2 linked regions of the Struthio camelus genome follow. The protein of the gene in region 2 interacts with the protein of the main gene of each other region in a pairwise test. Links are inferred from orthologs where the notes say so. Each region holds a gene or a part of one and is shown on either strand. Other genes may lie near its edges. The genes, in order: RASSF2 and RASSF5.

Region 1 (3,896 bases), on a different chromosome or scaffold from region 2:
GCGTCTGCGGCAGCCTCCGAGCCGGGGCCTCGCCGGCTGCGCGAGGCCCCCCCCACCCTGGGTGAGGAGGGAATTTGGGGGGGGGGGAGGCGTCGGGTCCCTCCAGCCGTTTCTCGCGCCAGCTGGGGCCGCGCAGCGCCGGGCACGCCGCGCTCCCGCCGTCCCGCTGCTTGCCGTCGGGCTTCCCAAAGCCCGAACGCCCTCGTGAGATGAGACGGGGCGGCGTCTAGCCTTTTTTATTTTTTTTATTTTTTTTACATTTTTAATTTTTTTTTTAAAAAAATAAAAATTTAAAAATTTTAAATTATTTTTAATTTAATTTTTAAATTTTTATTTATTTTTTTTTTTTTGGACTACCTCGCCAGTCGGCTGTTTAGCCTTTCCTCTGGCAGCCAGACAACTTGCCCGCGGCGTCTCCCTCGCTCTCGCTCATCCGAACGCTCAAAAAAACCGCCCCAAAAATCCGACCTCTGAAAGGGCCCGGACTTAAAGCCCGAGGGGATTTTTTTTTTTTCTTTTTTCACAAGGGAGGAAGTGCGGTTAAAAAAAAAAAAAAAAAAAGTGATTCGGGGGCGAAAGGTGCTCGGGGCGCGCCGGGAAAGGCCCTTCCTTGCGGCAGCTCCTGCTGCAGCTTTAAGGTGGTTTTAGCAACGGGGCTTTTCAGGCCGCGCTTAGCAAGAGCCCAGGCTTGAGCCCTGCCGGAGGTCCAGAGCTGCGGCAAACACACCTTTAACAGCGCTACAACGGGCGAAATAACTGAACCGGGTTTTTCACGCGCGGGGGACGGACCGCGTCCGGCCACGTTGCCCGCGTCCTCCGTCAGCCCTAGACGGCAGGAAGTTTTTATTAAAAAAAAAAAATTTTTTTCAAAAAAGACCCGGCTTCAGGCTTCGAAGCGCAGGGTCCGCGAGAGCGAAGCCACGCGGGAGCCGGCCGGAAGCGGCAGGGCAGGAAGGGGCCCCCAGCGCCGGCGCCTCTTTGTCTTGCAAAAGCAGAAGAGAAACCTGCCGAGGAGCAAAACGTCGCCGGACGCGCCGGAAGAGCCGCCGGAGCTCCTCCGCGCCGCCCCCAAAAACGGCCCCGAGAGCGGCTCGGCGGCGGCGGTCCGGCACGGAGCGGCCGAATCGCCCGCAACGGCGACGTCGGGGAAGCGTCGCGGGGGGGGTCGGGAAAAGGCGCCGGGATGCTGCGGCCGAGCCGGGAGCCGCCGCGAGCCCCGTTGCCCGTTTCGCTTTCGGCTCCGTCATCGCATCGCCATGCGAGGAACAGGGGCAAACGCTTCCGGCTTTGGGGGTCCGGAGGGAGCCCAGGCCGCGCGGCAGAGCGAGGGTCGGGGCGTCCCGGCGGGAACGGCGACGGCGTGCCCGGGCTCTCGGCCGGCAGCTCATCCGACGCCGAATCCTTAATAATAAAAATAACCACAATATCGGGGCCCACGTCCCTGGCGGGGGGGGGGATGCGATTTCCTCGCCGGGGCAGTGAGGTCCGCTGGCAACGAAGAGGGGTCGCGAGCCGCGGCTCCGAGGCGGGTAAGGCGTGAAAGAAAAAAGGTCTTGCTGGCAGCGAAGCAAACCAAAAAAGGGGGAAAAAAACCAAAAAAAAAAAAAAAAAAGGGAAAAAGTGCATTTTTCAGAGTGTTTTTGCTTTCCGGATGCTTTGGCAGCGCGAGCAGCTTGGGACCGGCAGCGCTGCGGTGGCCTCTCCCGCCTTCGCAAGGGACTGTGGGAATATCTCGCTCCCCCGGGAAGGACGGGGAAGCCGGAAAACCTTCGGCTCCGGGGCAGCGGGCGGCGAGCGGCAGCCCCCCCCCCCCTTCCCCGGCGCGCTCCTTGCCGCTGTCGCGCCGCGCGTAAAGCGGCCCCAACGTCCGCCCGTCCCAAGGCGCAAAAACAACCCCCCGCAGGCAATAGTTCTCCCCTTTTACACCGCAGCCCCTGTGAAGCGCGGTGCGACGGCCAGCCGGGCTGTTCTCGCCCGGAGCCGGGCCGACGACCCCGCCACGGCCGCCGAGCGACTCGCCGGAAGAGCCGCCCGCTGCTGCTTTGCCCCACGGGCGGCTTATTTTTTAAGGTTTAATGTTTAACGGGCGACTTCTCACTAATTGCTGATTTCTTTAAGCACGGAGGTGCCGGCGCTTCCATTGTTTTCTAGGGGCCCTATTGTTTGCCAGCCCAGCTGCTCCGGGAGGGGAAAGGGAGGAAAGGCAGAGCGCGCTGGGGACGAAGGGTCCCCGCCGCGATGGAGACGAGCGGCTGCGCGCGACCCCGAAGGGAAACTGAGTCCTGGACGCTGGCTCAGGGCAAGGGGACGGTCGCGCTGCCCGGTTTGACCCAGCTGCCGTCAGCGGGCTCCGCGCGGCCCGCGGGAAACGAGCTGGCGGGTCTCAGCCCGGACGGCGTCCGTCCTCGCCGAGCCACCCGCGCGCCGGGCGGCGACGATGGGGCACGTGGCCACCTCGCGTCCCACCGGCCGGGCGTCGCGTGCCGGGGCGGGCGGCGACGCTCCCGCGACGCCTCGGCCTCCCGCCGCTGCATCCCCGCGTTGGGAAAAGGGAGCGGCAAAAGCGAAGCGCGAAGTCGAGGCGGGGGGTCCCGAGGGGAGGACGAGTGCGGTGGGGACATCCCCTTTGGGGTGCCCCATCGCCGACGGGGGGGGGGGTGTGCGCCCCGTTCCCACGGTGGTGGAGCCCGTTCCCACGGGGGATGCCCCGTTCCCACGGGGTGCCCCATCCCCGGGGGACGCCCCGTTCCCACGGCGGGGGGGGTGGGTGGGGGGGGGAGCTCGGCCGCCGCCGAGCGGGTGCGCTCCCGTCGCCTGGTCCGGGCCGCCCCCTCCATTGTCCGCCCGGACAATCGCCGCCGCCGGGACGAGGCCTCCGGGGCGGCGGCGCCGCCGCGTCCTGCGCGTCCGCGGCCCCCCCCGCACACGCACCGCACCGCACCGCACCGCACCGCACTCGCTCACCCGGCCCCGGGCGCCGCCGGCCGCGCCCCGCTCCGCGCTGCTCCGCGCCCGCCCCCGTCGCATCCCGGCGCCGCCGCCCGCGTAGGGCCGCCCCCTTCGACGGGGCGGAGCGGGGCCGGCGGGGCGGAGCGGGGCGGCGCGCAGCGCGTCTCGGCGGAGGGGAGCGCGCGTCTCGGCGGGGGGAGCGCGCGTCTCGGCGGGGGGAGCGCGCGTCTCCGCGGGGGGAGCGCGCGTCTCGGCGGGGGGGAGCGCGCGTCTCGGCGGGGGGGAGCGCGCGTCTCGGCGGGGGGAGCGCGCGTCTCGGCGGGGGGGAGCGCGCGTCTCGGCGGAGGGGAGCGCGCGTCTCGGCGGGGGGAGCGCGCGTCTCGGCGGGGGGAGCGCGCGTCTCGGCGGGGGGAGCGCGCGTCTCGGCGGAGGGGAGCGCGCGTCTCGGCGGGGGGAGCGCGCGTCTCGGCGGGGGGAGCGCGCGTCTCCGCGGGGGGAGCGCGCGTCTCGGCGGAGGGGAGCGCGCGTCTCGGCGGGGGGGAGCGCGCGTCTCCGCGGGGGGAGCGCGCGTCTCGGCGGGGGGGAGCGCGCGTCTCGGCGGGGGGAGCGCGCGTCTCGGCGGAGGGGAGCGCGCGTCTCGGCGGGGGGGAGCGCGCGTCTCGGCGGGGGGGAGCGCGCGTCTCGGCGGGGGGAGCGCGCGTCTCGGCGGAGGGGAGCGCGCGTCTCGGCGGGGGGGAGCGCGCGTCTCGGCGGGGGGGAGCGCGCATCTCTCCCCCTTCCCGCGCGGCCGGGGCCACCCCGGGCCGGAGGGAGGCTGGAGGCAGGGGAGGGGGGAGGGCTGCGCCCGCGGTCCCGGGGTCGGGGGGGGGGGGGCGTGGGAACGAGGCGGAGGCAAGGGAGCGAAAGGAGGCCCCGTCTCGGGCACCCAGGTGGGCCCCGGGATTGGG
Region 2 (3,896 bases):
GCTCTTTTCTGCGTTTGCTCGTGGCCGTGTTGTGTTAACTCCGAAGTCGGTGGAGATGCTGCAGGTCCTGCCTCCTCCCGTCCCCGCCAGGCAGGGGCAGGTGTGCACGAGCTGCAAACTTTAGCTCGACATCAAAGTTTAAAAGTGCTCATGGAGGAGGCAGCAGGAGACCTTGGGCCCTTTTGGCCCAAATTTGGGGGCGATCTTATCTCGTCTTCCATGCTGCGTTGCAGGGGCGGCAGGTCTTTCCTGGGGTGAAAGCCGCAGCTGATGGCTCGGGTTTGGCTCGCCCCGGGCCATGTGGCTGCTCCCTGGGCCCCCCCTGCGTCGTTCCCACCCCGGCCAACTTCAGCTATGGCTAGGGGGGAATTTCTTTCGGTCCCTGAAATTTGTTGCTGCGTCGGGATCTGACTCGATTTTTATTTTTTTAAAGCAATTGTATTTCCAAGTGTCACTTGGGCTTGAATGGAAACTATCTCAAAGCGCAAGTGGAGGCATCCTGCTGCAGCAGCTCTCGGCAAGCCCGTCACGTGGCCACATCCTAAAGCCGTGTTTAGTTTCTAAAATTAGTGTTCCCTGCCAGATACCGGGTGATTAGGTCTGCTAATAGGTGGCAGTGACTAAGGAGGTGTCATACTTTAATCCTGTAAAGAAATGCCTGGCCATAATGGGCCTGATCCGGGGACGCGCTGCAACTGTGTGCCGTAATTGCTGTGGTCTATATGAAGCTCCAGCGACGTTCCTGTCTGCCGGAGCCTGCTGCTTTTGCAACCCTGGGCTGGGAATTTCCTTTTTACCGGCATTTTTTTGGGCTGGGGCCGTGGCCCTGCGGCAGGGAGCCCAGCCGGATGCTGAGGGCGAACCCAAATCCCTAGGCCGGGACCCGGGGGACCATTTTCTATCCTCCCGTTTTCCGTGCCAGGGAGCATTTCAGCCGCTCGCCCCCAGCCAGGATGCTGCTGCCGCTCCGTCGTCCCGGGGCTGCAATTCTGCGCTGCCGCCGAGTGCTCAGGTGCGACTGAAGCATCCTCCGATTGGTGCCTCCAGCAAAGACTTGCCCGTCGTCCCCTATTACAGGGCTCTTCCACTTGCACGAAAGGTCATGCATTAAAATTACTGTGTAACTGTTCCGCTTATGTCTAATTAAAAAAAAAGCCCTCCCTGCTTTCCCCCCAGGCTTACGCCAGCAAACTGGCTTGGAATAAGGAAACGGTAGGCAGCTCGTGCTGGATGAATGTCAGATAAGTGATTTCCCTGTTTCCCCTGCAGGCTGGTGCCTCCCCGCTCCGGCACCGGCTCCCAGCCGTGGTTCAGCTCCTCTGGTTCCCGGGCGCTCAGCACTGCCGAGCGGGAATCACCGTTTCCAGAGCAAACTGGGGATGCTCCTCTGCTTCCCTGCAAACCCAAGACGTTTGCAAGCAATGACCCAGAAAAAAGGCCACTTTTAGTGATCGTGGGCCTTGGGTCAGGGTGCAGAGCTCACCAAACCGTGGAGGTGGGAAGAGCAGTGTGAGCAGTGCTGAAACCTTCCTGTGCTCCGGAGATCCAAAATCCCGTCTCTGACTGTGCCGTGAACTCCTTTGCCTGGGATTTAGGTTTTCTTTTTTTTTTCCCCTCCCCCAGTTCAGTGACTGCTCTGGAATTTTGGGTCGTGTAAAAGTAAATTGAACTCTGTTTATACGGCAGTTAAAAATTAAAAGGATCAGTAAGGTCATTAAAGCAGAAGGAGGTGGTTAGCTGCAGCCAAGAGGGTCTGGAAAAGTCGGGTCTTCGAGGGAAAGGGCTGGGGAGCAATAGGGCAATAAATAAGTGGAACAGCTGTTTCTGACAATGCTGGTCGTGCAGCCGCCGTCGTCGGAAAGCGGTACCGCACGCCTTAAAAGGTTAACCCGGGGCTTTGTGAAGTTTTCCGTGTAATTTCTACCTCGCGCTAGTTAATGTCTTACAGCAGAACGGGTCGGCGGCCAAAGAAATCAAATGCCCGATTCCACCCGGGCAGCGCGCGCGCGCTCGGAGGTGGTCGGGTGCCGCCTGCCGCCCCGGGACGGGTCCGTGGCTTCTCCGGGGGCGTTTCGGCAGGACCCCGTGGTGGAGCCGTCATTTCCCTAAGGCAGCCGGCCCTCAAAGTGTTTGCACTCGCTGACTGCTTTCCTCCGCTGCCCAAGCTAGCTCACTAAAATTGAATGTTTTGGTTATTTTGTATATTAATCTGCCAGCAGACCAGGGGAAAGGGCGGCGGGGTGCGAGGTGCAAACCGCGGCCCTGCAGCAACGCGTAAAGGTTTCCTCCGCGGCGGGTGCGGAAGCAATTTTTGTTCTGGGTCAGGTGCTCTGCAGCTCTTCCCTCTCTGCCAAAACGGGTCCGCGTGCTTCGCTCGCGGTCGCGGACGCATAACCCGACCGCGGCCCTCGGTCCGGGGCGAACGGGGCTGCTTCTCGCTTGGCCCCGCGCCGCCGCGTTGCTCGTGCCGGCGCCTCACTGCTGTGTTTCCTCCTGCCCAGACTGCAGCTACACCTGCCACCAGGAATGCCGGAGCCTCGTCCAGCTGGACTGCCGCCGGCCGGGACAGCCCCTGGGCCAGCTCTCGCCCGACAGCACCCTGATGCTGAGCTGCAGCCAGGTAGGGCCGGGGGTCGGGAGCGCGGCGCTTCCCGGGGCCGCCGCCGCCGGCAGAGCCGGGCGCGCGCGGGAGGTTGGAGCGTGACGACGTTTCGTCGCGGATCGGAGATGCGGGGCCTCTTGGGAACAGCCTGCTGATGGTAAGCGGCCTCTGTTTTGGAGACCTGGTGCCTCCCTCCCTCCCGAAGGGGTTAGCCCAGGTCCTCCCCGCCGCAGCAGGAGAGGCCGAGGCGGACGCCTCCTGCGTCTCGGCGGGATGCAAGCGTGGGCTTTGCTGGCTTCGTAGCCTTGAGGGGTTCAGCAGCCCGGGGGGATCTAGACGCTGCAGTCTGCATCGGGGATGTGCAGTAATCCCCGCGTCCGCTCCGGAAGTCTTCAGCTGTTTAATGGCGCAGAGGGTCCCGCGGGGTCTGTAGCAGCCACAGCGGCCTGAAGGCAGCGTCAAGGAGAAGGCTGCGGTGCGTGCCACAGGGCGCATCAGTACGATTACTTGGTGCCACAGAAGTCGAGATGCGAGTTACTTCTATGCCGGAAGGTTAAACCATCGCTTAAAAACCCGGCCGCGTGGGAGCCGATTTGCACGGGAGGGGAGAGGATCAGGCTTGTTGGCTTTTGCTTGCGTCCTCTGCTGCTGCCGGACCGATGACCCGCAGCGAGGTGCAGCCGTTTCAGCGGGTGCCTGAAATTAATACATAAAAAATATATATATATTAAATAAATAAAGGTCGCAAGCGGAGGAGCGGGGCCGGCAGCGGGCCGGGGCGCGGGCTGCGCTGGGGGAGCCCCGGGGCTTCGCCGCGGCCGGCGAGGGAGGTTTCCCGCCCCGCGCGGCAGAAAAGCCGGTGTTTTCCCGCGGGGCGTCACTGGGGGGAGCAGGGAGGCCGTGCCGGGCCGTGACCTGGTGCGTGGGAAATGGGGGAGGCGAGACGAGGGTCACCACGCTGCTTCCTCCTGGCCCCAAAATCGTCAGTAAGCGACTAGTCCCAGGGCAGATGGGAAGCCCGCGTCTGATCTGCGCGGAAAATTCATTTACCCAAAGTAAATGGAGTTTCAGATGTTGGCTTAACGCTGCTTTTTGGTAGAACGTTGCTAGATACCTGGCTGAGATTTTTTTCCAGCAGCTTTTGCCCCTTCGTACTGTTTAAAACCAAGGTGGACTCTGGTGAAGAGTTAAGACTTGGGCCAGAAGCCGGTCTGCGGCAGCCTGGAGTTGTCCCTGGGCAACGGAGAGAGACTTTCCCGAAGCGGATTTAAGGAGAGAACCGTGCTTCTGTGCT

Evidence for each region.
Region 1: the proteins of RASSF5 (region 2) and RASSF2 interact in binary tests that used the Homo sapiens proteins (3 or more experiments, as listed by UniProt). The link is inferred for Struthio camelus from reciprocal best matches to the Homo sapiens genes RASSF5 and RASSF2.

What each region holds. Positions count from the first base shown.
Region 1 is NC_090968.1:2,541,218-2,545,113, forward strand, and holds the start of RASSF2 (ras association domain-containing protein 2), read right to left. Parts: upstream 3,058-3,896; 5' UTR 2,965-3,057; intron 509-2,964; exon of another isoform or gene 358-508; intron 1-357. UniProt on the Homo sapiens protein: Potential tumor suppressor. Acts as a KRAS-specific effector protein. May promote apoptosis and cell cycle arrest. Stabilizes STK3/MST2 by protecting it from proteasomal degradation.
Region 2 is NC_090965.1:7,800,950-7,804,845, forward strand, and holds the start of RASSF5 (ras association domain-containing protein 5), read left to right. Parts: upstream 1-1,147; 5' UTR 1,148-1,830; coding exon of another isoform or gene 1,831-1,864; 5' UTR 1,865-2,183; coding exon 2,184-2,325; intron 2,326-2,501; coding exon 2,502-2,620; intron 2,621-3,896. UniProt on the Homo sapiens protein: Potential tumor suppressor. Seems to be involved in lymphocyte adhesion by linking RAP1A activation upon T-cell receptor or chemokine stimulation to integrin activation.